3 linked regions of the Mus musculus genome follow. The protein of the gene in region 3 purifies or fractionates together with the protein of the main gene of each other region. This does not show direct contact. Links are inferred from orthologs where the notes say so. Each region holds a gene or a part of one and is shown on either strand. Other genes may lie near its edges.

Region 1 (4,105 bases), on a different chromosome or scaffold from region 3:
TTTTTTCTTTTTTTAAAAAGAAGGCACCCAATCCCCCAGTCCTTTGTCCTTCTTCAAAGCTACTTAAAAACATATTTAATTACACATGTGATATATCACCTTATGGGATTACACAACTGCCAGTAAGAACTCATTGAAGCAAAGCATATCTAAAAATATATTTAAAAGAAATTTCTGTGGCAAAACCTCTCTTGCTAAGAAATGTAATTATATACATTTATACATTTATAATGTGTAGAGTTGTTCTAATCATCCTGGCAGGTGTTAGAAATCCTGTTCTATAGTGAATGCATTTAGCCAGGCAATGAAGTAACTATTAGACATTTTATCTATTTTTAACTAAAAAAAAATAAAAAATAAAAAAATAACATATTACTTATTCCTGTTATATAACAGGAATGGATGTTCTTTAAAAATATATGTAAGCACTGCTATTTTTTTATTTATTATAAAGAAAATAAATAATAAAGTTGGGGCACTAACAATTTAATTCGATAAGTCAAGAAAATAATGAGATTAACTGAAATCACTCACAACCCAGGACCCCACATTCTATTCCTAAAATTAACATAACATATATTACAAACCTCTTTCACTCAAGGGCTCGAGTGTTTCAAAGCTGCCCTGTCCACTGTCTACAGGACTGTCTGCTGCTTCTTGTGAAAGAAGTTTTAGATCGTTGACTTCCAGGTTAACCTAGAGAATGAGAATAAACCTAGCATTAACAAGGAGGAGACAGAGCTGAGTATATATGGGGACACACAGTGTGGGGACATCAGCTGCAACTGGGAAGAACCAAAACGGGACAGTGTAACACACAGATGACATTTAAAGTCACAGACCAAAACCAAAACCAAACACACACAAACCGAGACTAATTGCTACAGGATACTAACTGAACAGCTCCATTTACTTTTATTAAACACATCGATTGCACAAATCAGATTCGCTTGGTTTTTCGGGTTTTTTCAATTGAAAAGAAGATGTATTAATTTTATAAGTGTTTCATCTGCATATATGTCTGTGCACCATATTCATGAAGTGCCTGTAGAGGTCAAAATGTTCATGAGACACCCTAGAGCCGTAGTTACAGTCATGATGTGGACACTGGGAATTGAACTAGGATTCTCTGCAAGAACAGCAAGGGCTCTTAACCACTGAGCCATCTCTCCAGTCCCTTTTAAATTTTTTTTTAAAAAGATTTACTTTGTTTATGTGTAGGAGTATTTTCCCTGTATGTATGTAAGGGCACTGAGTGCAAACCTGATACTCATGAAAGTCAGAAGAGGACACTGGATTCTCTGGAACTGGAATTACAGATGGTTGTGGGTGACAGGAACCAAATCCAGGTCCTCTGGAGGAGCAGCAAGTGCTCTTACCAGATGAGCCACCACTCTAGCCCCCCTTTTCATTATTTTGCATGTGTGTGTAGGCACATTTAGAGAGGGAGTGGTGTGCTATAGAGCACCGAAGGAAGACAGAGGACAACTTGCAAAAATCTAATCTCTTCTACTAGGTGAGTCCTGGGGATAGAAGTCACGCTGTCAGGCTTCAAAACAAATGTCTTTATTTATGAGCCATCCTTCAGATCCCACTGTGATAGTCACACACACACACACACACACTCACTCATGTCATAATTGTGCTCACATACCATTCTTCTAACTTTGCCTCCCTGTCTTTGTCTCCTACTTTTATGTTTGTTTTCTTTCTTTCTTTCTTTCTTTCTTTCTCTCTTTCTAGTAAGAGTCAGCAAAAGTGTGGCTTATGAAGTCAGCCACCTTTTGAAAATAATGTTATTTAAATTAAGGCTTTTTAAAAAAATCCTAGTGAGGCAAAAAGACAGGTTGGTGCACAACGAGATCTTGATTAAAGTCTGTTATTTTGTTCAATATCTAATCGTGAAAACTTCATGTCAAAATAAGGCTTTCATAGCCAGGCGTGGGGGCGCACGCCTTTAATCCCAGCACTCGGCAGAGGCAGGAGGATTTCTGAGTTCGAGACCAGCCTGGTCTACAGAGTGAGTTCCAGGGCGGCCAGGGCTACACAGAGAAACCCTGTCTCAAAAAAAAAAAAAAAAAAAAAACAACAACAACAACAACAACAACAAAAAGGCTTTCCTTTGGTGATTAGGTTTTTCTGGTACCCCCATTAAATCTGTTCTTAAGGCAACTATTTGGCCCTAGTCCTGGCTCCAGAAAAGAACACAGATCACGGAAAAGGTTTTCTATGGCCAAATTCCACTAGTGAGTCACCAGCTACTGGAAGGACGCTGTGAGCCAGGCCACTGTAGGCAAAGACTGTGGGCCCACGCGCGACACCCTTACAAGTTCCTTCCAGAACCAGAGTTCCAACTGCTTATACCCCTCACCCTGTGCTTACAGAGACTCCCACCCCACAACTTCCAGGCCAGGCTGGCCAAGGCCTTTTTTTTTTTTTTTTTTTTTTTTTTTTTTGTGGGGATGCTGTAAAGGGAGCTTGCGCGGCAGGAAACGCGCCAAAGAGCAAGGCGGGCTGCAGTGACAAGCTGAGGACCCGGCTGGGCGGACAACAGCGCGCGCCGCCGAACCAGAAGCTGTGGGGACTGAGCGCGGGAAGCCAGATGGAGACCCTCCAGAGGCCCCCAGACTCAGTCCAGTGGTCTCGGAGCGGTGCACGCCGGGAATTGTAGTCCTCCCGGCTCGGCGCTCTGGCCCTGCTGGGTTGACTGTCCCACTCGGCCCTCAGCGAAAGGCCTCCACAGCCCGGACCAGAGCCTAAACTCACCTCAGAACCCACCTCGCCGGTCATGATTCCGGCCTCCCTTCCGCACAGCTCCAGGAGAACGTGTCTGCAGTAACCTCAACTTGACGGCGACAGCTCCCGCCGTCTCCAGCTCGGCAGCGAAGTTCGAGCTTTCGCGCCCAGACGCGGTACAACGCTCAACCTTGAGGGTTTGCACCAATCCGAGGGAGGGTTTCCCTCCGAGGCCCCACCCCTATCGCCCTGCCAATCAGGAGGCGCCTCCTGCCTGCCCGGCAAATGTAATTTGCGTTGGTTTGGCGGGTTGCGGCTGCTCTTGTCAAACAGATCTAGGAGTGGCTTTGGGGTGTCTGGGGGTTCTCGGGGAGCGAAGAGATCCCGCGCTATGGCTTAGAAAGAAGGTATCTTGCGAATGATGTTCTTGGACTTTTGACCTATGTCTTCGTTCGATGGGTCGTACCGTATGCAATTAGAGGAGAGAAATTTCAATGCAGGAAGTGAACTGGGAAGAAGTTCCCAGGATTCTGGGAGTGTCCCACACCTGAATTTTTTGCTGAGGGAACCTTAGACCCCAGTGGAGGCTTTCTCCATCAGTTCATCCCTGGAGCAATCCTAACCTGCAGAGTTAATGTTTTTACCTCTTCGGGTCGATTCTCTGTCCTTTCTTCCCCATGTTCTATAGGCAGGCAAGAATGTCCTTTCTGGACTGTATTGTCCCAGCTGACTTGTCTTTTGTCTTCTGAATGGTCAAGCCAGTGTTAAAACTCCTTACAAAGTTATTATAAAGAGACCAGCTGGCACAGGGAAAGAAAGATCTGAGTATTTATTATCCTCCATCCCACCCAAACCCCCCTCCTCTCTAACTCCCCCCACCCCCCTTCACCTATTCTGGTATGGTGACCAACTCTGTCCAGTTTGCTTAGGACTTTCCCAGGTTTAGCACGGAAAACCTCACATCCCTAGAATCTCCTCAGAGGATACGAGGGATGACAGTCACCTCTGACACTGGTCTCCCCTTTATCTGAATACACATTCAGATAAAAAACAACTCCATTTCTCCACATCTCCGCCCACTTCTACACCCCTAAGGGTCTTGAGCTGGGGATGCAGCTCAGTAGTAGAGCTCTTGCTTAGTTAGTTTGCATGAGGCCCTCCCTGGTATAATCTCCAGGCTTCCAAAAAATACAAAAAAGAGTCCCATCCTCATATTTTACCCCCTTTTTAAAAAAAAAAAGGCTATTTTACTATGACCGTATACATCAATGATTCACAAATATGCATCTATCTGTAGCACTTCCTCCAGCATTTGGAGGACTGACTTTTATTGGCCATACAGTTTGTGACAAACAATGGGCAGAATTTT
Region 2 (3,648 bases), on a different chromosome or scaffold from region 3:
ATATTAATTAAATATAGTGGCAAAAAAATGAAACTATACAAGATGTTCTCTTAATTCTTCCAAGTACCCTTTCTATTTCACTGAAGCTATTTCTCTAGAGGTGATGATTAACAGCTTATATATTCAGTGTGTATGTGTATATGTATATATACACACACACACACACACACACACACATATATATATATAAAATGTGTATATATTTTTTTTCATTCTGTAATATACTCAGAGATTCTTTTTTTTGTTTTTTGTTTTTTTGAGACAGGGTTTCTCTGTCCTGGAACTCACTCTGTAGACCAGGCTGGCCTTGAACTCAGAAATCTGCCTGCCTCTGCCTCCCAAGTGCTGGGATTAAAGGCGTGCGTTACCACCGCCCGGCATTCTTAGAGATTCTAAAGAACATAATCAACCCAGTTTCACTGGGTTTTTTTTAAAATCTCACTTTCCTGTTTTTAATTTATTTTTTTACTTATTCACTTTACATCCCACTCACTTGCCCCTTCCTGTTCATCCCCTTCCACAACCTTCCTCTACCCCTCCTCTCCTCCTTCTCCTCTGAGGCCCCATAGGTATCCCCACATCCTAGCACTTCAAGTCTCTACAAAGCTACGAGCTTCCTTTCCCACTGAGGCCAGAAAAAGCAGTCCAGCTAGAAGAACATATTATATGTACAGGCAACAGCTTTTGGGATAGCCCCTGCTCCAGCTGTTTGGGACCCACATGAAAACCAAGCTGCACATCTGTTACATATGTAACACATGCAAAAACAAAAAAGAAAAGCTCTAAATAAGACAGGTGTGATGATACAAATCTTTAATCCTACCACTTGGGAAGCAGACAAAGGCAGATCTCTGTGAGCTCAGGGCTAGAATATTGGTCACTGTTCTACTGCTGTGAAGAGAAATCATGACCAAGGTAAAGGTAACTCTTACCAAAGAAATCATTTAAGAAACCTCAAAGCCCCACCCCAGTGAAACACTTCTTCTAACAAGGCCACACCTCCCCAAACCTTCTAATCCTTTCTAATATTGCTACTCCCTGAGGACTAAGCAATTAAATATATGGCACTTTTATTAAGACACAGCTAGCCAGAGTTGCATAGTGCTACTTTGTCTCAAAATTTTTTTGAATAAATAAAAGTCTAAAATAAACCAGGATGGGATGTACTCCAGTAATACTGTTTAGCATGGGTTCTAGCACTTGCCCTGGATTCAATCGATGCCCACTGCTAAAAAATAAAGATCAATCAAGCATTTCTTACCTCATGACCCTTCCCCTTGAATTTCGTCTTATCAAACACATGCCTTAAGGCTGGAAGCCCTCTCTCTGAAGTCAATCTGTGAAGAGAAACATTTTGAATTTCTAGCCATATTAAAACCAAGACCATGAAAAAAAAATATTTCCTCCTGAATTAGAAAAGACAAGGGGCTGGAGAGATGGCTCAATGGTTAAGAGTACTAACTGCTCTTCCAGAGGTCCTGAGTTCAATTCCCAGCAACCACACAGTGGCTGACACTCAGTGGCACAATCACCTGTAATGGGATCTGATGCCCTCTTCTGGTGTGTCTGAAGAGATGAATGGTGTACTCGTATACATAAAATAAATAAATAAATCTTATGTGGCTGGAAAGATGGCTCAGCAGTTAAGAGCAAAGGTCCTGAGTTCAAGTCCCAGCAAACACATGGTGGCTCACAACCACCTGTAATGGGATCTGATGCTCTCTTTTGGTGTGTCTGGAAACAGTGTACTCACATACATAAAATAAATAAATACAATCATTAAAAAGAAGAAGAAAAGAAAAAGTTTAAAGGAGAAAAAAATCTTTACAGAACTCTATCTGAACTCTAAATCACCCACCAAAGACCGTGATAGTAAAAGAAAAACACTGTGTAGAAATCTATAAATGTATCAAAGTAAATGCCCATACCTCGTAGCATCTAGCTTAGGTAGATTCCTTTTAACTGTTCTCTTTGGCGGAACAGGTACTCCACTCCCTGATCCTAGTAAACAGACCAAAATTTAGTACTTAAAAATTGTCCTGTGGAGCCAAGTTGATTTCTGAATTCAAGGCCAGCCTGGTCTACAGAGTCAATTCCAGGACAGCTAGGGCTATACAGAGAAACCCTGCCTCGAAAAACCAAAAAAAGAAAAAATCATCCTCTGATCTCCATATGCACACACTGTAGCACCTGTGTGCCCACATATATTCAGATAAACACAAATACATAAATATAGTTATTTTTGTTTGTTTGTTTTTTAAGACAGGGTTTCTTTGTGTAGCCCTGGCTGTCCTGTAACTTGCTCTACAGACCAGGCTAGCCTCAAGTTCACTGAGATCCTCCTGCCTCTGCCTCCCAAGTGCTGGGATTGAAGAAAGGAATGTGCCACCACCACCCAGTCAGTTTTTTTTTTTTTTAATCATTTGCAAAATGTACCATTTCTAGGCTAATCTGACACAGAACTATGTGGGACATTTCAGCAGGTACAGCAGGACTGTCAGAGCAAGGCTAGCCTGGGAGACACTGTGAGCTCTTATCTTTTTTTTGGTTTTACGAGACAGGGTTTCTCTATGTAGTCCTGGCTGTCCTGAAACTCACTTTCTAGACCAGGCTGGCCTCAAACTCAGAAATCCGCCTGCCTCTGCCTCCCGAGTGCTGGGATTAAAGGTATGCGTCAACACGCTCTTTGTCGTAAAAACTAATATACAGGGCAGGTGAGATGGCTTAGTGGTTAAGAGCTCTTCCAGAGGCCCTTAGTTCAATTCCCAGCACCCACATGGTGGCTCACAACCATCAATAATGGGATGTGAAGTCCTCTCCTGGTGTGTCTAAAGACAGTGACAGTGTACTCACATACATAAAAATAAAACAACAGGGAGCTGAAGAAATGGCTCAGTAGTTAAGAGCACTGACTGTTCTTCCTGAGGTCCTGAGTTCAATTCCCAGCAACCACATGGTGGCTCATAACCACCTGTAATGAGATCTGACGCCCTCTTCTGGTGTGTCTGAAGACTGCTACAGTGTACTTACATATAATAATAAATATATCTTCTAAAAAATTTTTAAATAAATAAATAAAACAGGGCTGGAAAAATGGCTCAGCAGTTAAGAGCAGTGACTGCTCTTCCAGAGGTCCTGAGTTCAATTCCCAGCAACCACATGGTGGCTCACAACCATCTGTAATGGGATCTGATACCCTCTTCTGGTGTGTTAAAGACAGCTACAGTGCACTCATAAAATAGACAAACCAACAAACAAACCTTAAAAAATAAATAAAAATAATAAAAAAAACAACAACTAAGCTTGGTGGCTCATACCTTTAATCCTAGAACTTGGGAAGCAGAGGCAGTTGGATCTCCAGAGTCTACAGGACAGACTGAACTATATGGAGAAATCTTGCTCAAAACAAAACAAAACAAAACAACAACCAAATGAAAGGATACTTTTGTGACATTCTTGATACAGACCTTCCTCAGGTTCAGCGTCTGCAGGATCTCTCTCTGGCGAGGCCGGAGGTGGGAAGGGAGGAAAAGTTTCATCCTCTACATGTTCATAATCTGGTATTTCAAACAAGCCATTTTCTTCTTGCTCTAACATCTTTTCCTCCAGGAGAAAAAAAGAAAGTTATTTTTAACCAGCCAGTCTTCC
Region 3 (3,648 bases):
ACCTGGGTTCAAGCCCCAGCACTCATAGAACAACCAGGCTTGTGGTTTGTGGCTGTAATTCCATTGCTGAGGAGGCAGAGACAGGAAGATTCCTAGGGCTCACTGATCAGCAAGTCCCACACCCCAGTCCCAGTGAGAGCTATTGTTTTGTTGGGTTTTTTGTTTTTCTCAAAGATTTCTTTCTTTTTTTTTTTCTTTTTAAGATTTATTTACTTATTTTATTTCTATGAGTACACTGTGTAGCTGTACAGATGGTTGTGAACCTTCATCTGGTTGTTGAGAACTGAATTTACAGTTTAAATTCTGCTCGCTCAATCCTGCTCACTCCTGCCCAAAGATTTATTTATTATTATAAATAAGTACACTGTAGCTGTCTTCAGACACACCAGAAGAGGGCATTGGATCCCATTACAGATGGTTGTGAGCCACCATGTGGTTGCTGGGATTCAAACTCAGGGCCTTTGGAAGAACAGTCAGTGCTTTTAACCACTGAGCCATCTCTCCAGCCCCTGAGAGCTATTGTTTTAAAATGAGGTGGGGGTGTCTGAGGAATGATATCAGATTGACCTCTGGCCTTCACACACACACACACACACACACACAGAGGGAGAGGGAGGGAGAGGAGAGAGACAAGCACACATTTATACCTCTGGACCCCCAGCTCTTACATTTATAAATCTTTCGGAGGGAGTGGAACATTTGCAGTCAGGACAACTTGCGGGGGTTGGTTCTCTACTTCTACCAAGTGGGTTCTGTGGTACTCAGGTTATCAGCCTCAATGGCAAGCTTCCTTCCTTACCATTGAGCTATCTCGCCAGCCCAAAGCTGTGACTCCTAACTCCTGTGGTATATCCAGACTAGGGCTGTATGAGGAAGCTGTAGAAGATGGAGGATTCAGTCTAACCCTCCCAAGGCTGCAGAGTGTCCAAGGTGAACATCTCAGCATTGATCTGGCTTCCTACCGGGTTGTCTTAACTCTGAACCATGTTTCTCTGGTTTCAGGATCTGGCTGTAGTGTGGCCCAGGCCTTAATTCCTAAACTGGAGTTTCTCTGCTTTCTAGTCAACTAGAAAGCAGCCTTAACAAAAAGCTTTCCCTGGGGCTAGCAGATGTAGCTCGGGTAGAGCACGTGCCCACTGTGCACAGGAGCCTCCCTGGGTTTGATTAGTTTATATATTAAAAAAAAAAATGTTTTCCCCGGCCTGGGAGCAGCACTTTTAGCTCAGACAGAAGCGAAGCCATTAAGGGTCCTGAGTGCAAGCCCAGCTTGTTCATTTTCCTTACCACGGACATCCCTCTTCCTAGTCCCGTAGGCCTCACCCTCTCCGTCCACCATCTCTACTGCCCGCTCTGCTGGTTGGGCCTCTGGTGTATGGACTTGTACATGATGAACTGTGAACTTCTAGCCACGTGTAGCGCCCTTGGGTACTTGGAAGGAGGGACTTACCACAAGGAGCCGGATTGCCTGGGTGAGTAATCTTTTGAGGAATCGGAAGGAAAAAAAAAACTTCACCAAATTGGTCTGGTGAGTTTCCCTGGCCGTGGGTACAAACAACTCATGGGGCTAGGCAGCTCCTTCTGGGTAAGTGTTTTATCCTGTCCTCTAAAGAGAGTGTGAAGGATTTGATCCGATACCTGAGGCACGAGGATGAGACCCGAGATGTGCGGCAGCAGCTGGGAGCTGCACAGATCCTGCAGAGCGACCTCCTGCCAATCCTCACGCAGCATCGCCAGGACAAGCCTCTCTTCGATGCCGTGATCAGGTTCACTCCTCAGCCTTTCGACTCTTATCTCGGGCGGCGTCCGAGTTGTCAAGGAAACCTGACCACTCTGTCTTCGTTGTCTCCCCAGGCTGATGGTAAATTTGACACAGCCAGCCTTGCTCTGTTTTGGCAGCGTGCCTAAGGACTCCAGTGTACGGCACCATTTTCTGCAGGTTCTAACGTACCTGCAAGCCTACAAAGAGGTGAGAAGCCTTTCTGCAGAGGTCCTGGGTTGGTGTTTGGAGAGGAAGGAAAGACAAGGTAGGCGCTACCTACGAGACTGTTCCCTGTCCCACAGGCCTTTGCCAGTGAGAAGGCATTTGGAGTCCTCAGCGAGACCTTGTATGAATTGCTACAGCTGGTGAGTGAGTCTGCATCACACACATCCCATGTGCCAGTTAGTACTTCACCTCCGCTACCTCTGCTGAACCTGGGAAGGTCCTCAGCCCTTAGAGATACAGGTTCTGTGTAGCCAAGGCTGTCCTGGAACTCACTCTGTAGACCAGGCTGGCCTCAAACTCAGAAATCCGCCTGCCTCTGCCTCCCAGGTGCTGGGATTAAAAACTCGAGCCACTACCGCCTGGCTTCTAGCCACTCTTATTTTGCTGGACTGGAACTAAGAGGTGGTCCTGTCCCATCCCCCCCTTGGCCTCCCCCCGCCCCCCACCTCCCGAGAGCTGGGATTAAAGAACTGTGCCACCATGCCTGCTCTTTATTTCTAGTTTGTATTTTTAGAAATTTATCTAATGGGGTATGTGTGTGTGTGTGTGTTCATGTGCACATAGAAGCCATAAACAATGACAGATGTTTTTCTGGATGTTTCCTGGATTATTGAGTGTGTGCTGGGGTCTGAACTCCTAGTCATCACGATTGCGTTGAGAGCATTGTTAAACCACTAAGCCATCTCTCCATACCTTTTCCTTCTTTTTAGTCCCAATTCTCAGGGCTCAGTCTTAGAGCCAGTCTTTTCTCCTTTTGCCCAGGGCTGGGAGGATCGGCAAGAAGAAGACAACTTGCTGATCGAGCGGATCCTTCTGCTGGTCAGAAATATTCTCCATGTCCCGGCCAACCTTGAGCAGGAGAAGGTGAAGAGGGTTTGGGGAACATCGGAGTTCTTGCACTGGTTAGGGTGAACTCCCCTCTCTTAGGCTTTTCTGTCTTCTACGAGTCTGGGGGCTAGCCTTAGCCACAGAGTGAGCTGCTGGGGACTCTGGAGGCTGTCCTGAGTGGAGCTGAGTGTGTGTGTTTGTATTGTTGTCATGTCCCCCCACCCCCACCCCCCACCTGCTCAGAGTATCGATGATGATGCCAGCATCCACGACCGTCTCCTTTGGGCAATTCACCTCAGTGGCATGGACGACTTGCTCCTCTTCCTGTCCAGCTCATCCGCCGAGCAGCAGTGGAGCCTCCATGTGCTGGAGATCATCTCCCTCATGTTCCGAGACCAGGTGGGGCCTTACTTATACTAGTCCTCTACTCCCCGCCATGTGCTTCCGCCGTGTGGCCCGAGGAGCCCTGGTGGGGATGGGGGATTACCCGAGGAAGGTGATGCGTGCCCTGGCTGTGTTCTATCCAAGGCCCATGAATAGCTCTCAGTGTTTGTGTTTTCCCTTCCGAGTAGGAGCGAACTTGTCCTGGGGGCTGGAGAGATGGCTCAGCAGTTAAGAGCACTGACTGCTCTTCCTAAGGTCCTGAGTTCAAATCCCACAACTACATGGTGGTTCATAACCATCTGAAATGAGATCTGACACCCTCTTCTAGTGTGTCTGAAGACAGCAACAGTGTAGTTACCTATATAAATAAATCTTTGGGCTGAAGCAAGCCGGGCTGGAGCGAGCAGAGGTCCTGAGTTCAATTCCCAGCAACTATATGATGGCTCACAACC

The links.
Region 1: the proteins of Timeless (region 3) and Clspn purify together in Homo sapiens (affinity purification with western blotting; 4 studies listed by BioGRID). This does not show direct contact. The link is inferred for Mus musculus from reciprocal best matches to the Homo sapiens genes TIMELESS and CLSPN.
Region 2: the proteins of Timeless (region 3) and Tipin purify together in Homo sapiens (affinity purification with western blotting; 6 studies listed by BioGRID and IntAct, counting the BioPlex papers as one, with this or other methods). This does not show direct contact. The link is inferred for Mus musculus from reciprocal best matches to the Homo sapiens genes TIMELESS and TIPIN.

Annotation. Positions count from the first base shown.
Region 1 is NC_000070.6:126,555,799-126,559,903, reverse strand, and holds the start of Clspn (claspin), read right to left. Parts: upstream 2,925-4,105; 5' UTR 2,791-2,924; coding exon 2,767-2,790; intron 697-2,766; coding exon 588-696; intron 45-587; exon of another isoform or gene 1-44.
Region 2 is NC_000075.6:64,288,063-64,291,710, reverse strand, and holds part of Tipin (TIMELESS-interacting protein), read right to left. Parts: intron 3,604-3,648; 5' UTR 3,598-3,603; coding exon 3,468-3,597; intron 2,002-3,467; coding exon 1,929-2,001; intron 1,338-1,928; coding exon 1,262-1,337; intron 1-1,261.
Region 3 is NC_000076.6:128,238,529-128,242,176, forward strand, and holds part of Timeless (protein timeless homolog), read left to right. Parts: exon of another isoform or gene 1-930; intron 931-1,305; coding exon of another isoform or gene 1,306-1,372; coding exon 1,373-1,469; intron 1,470-1,609; coding exon 1,610-1,763; intron 1,764-1,851; coding exon 1,852-1,966; intron 1,967-2,061; coding exon 2,062-2,124; intron 2,125-2,746; coding exon 2,747-2,848; intron 2,849-3,055; coding exon 3,056-3,211; intron 3,212-3,648. UniProt on the Homo sapiens protein: Plays an important role in the control of DNA replication, maintenance of replication fork stability, maintenance of genome stability throughout normal DNA replication, DNA repair and in the regulation of the circadian clock.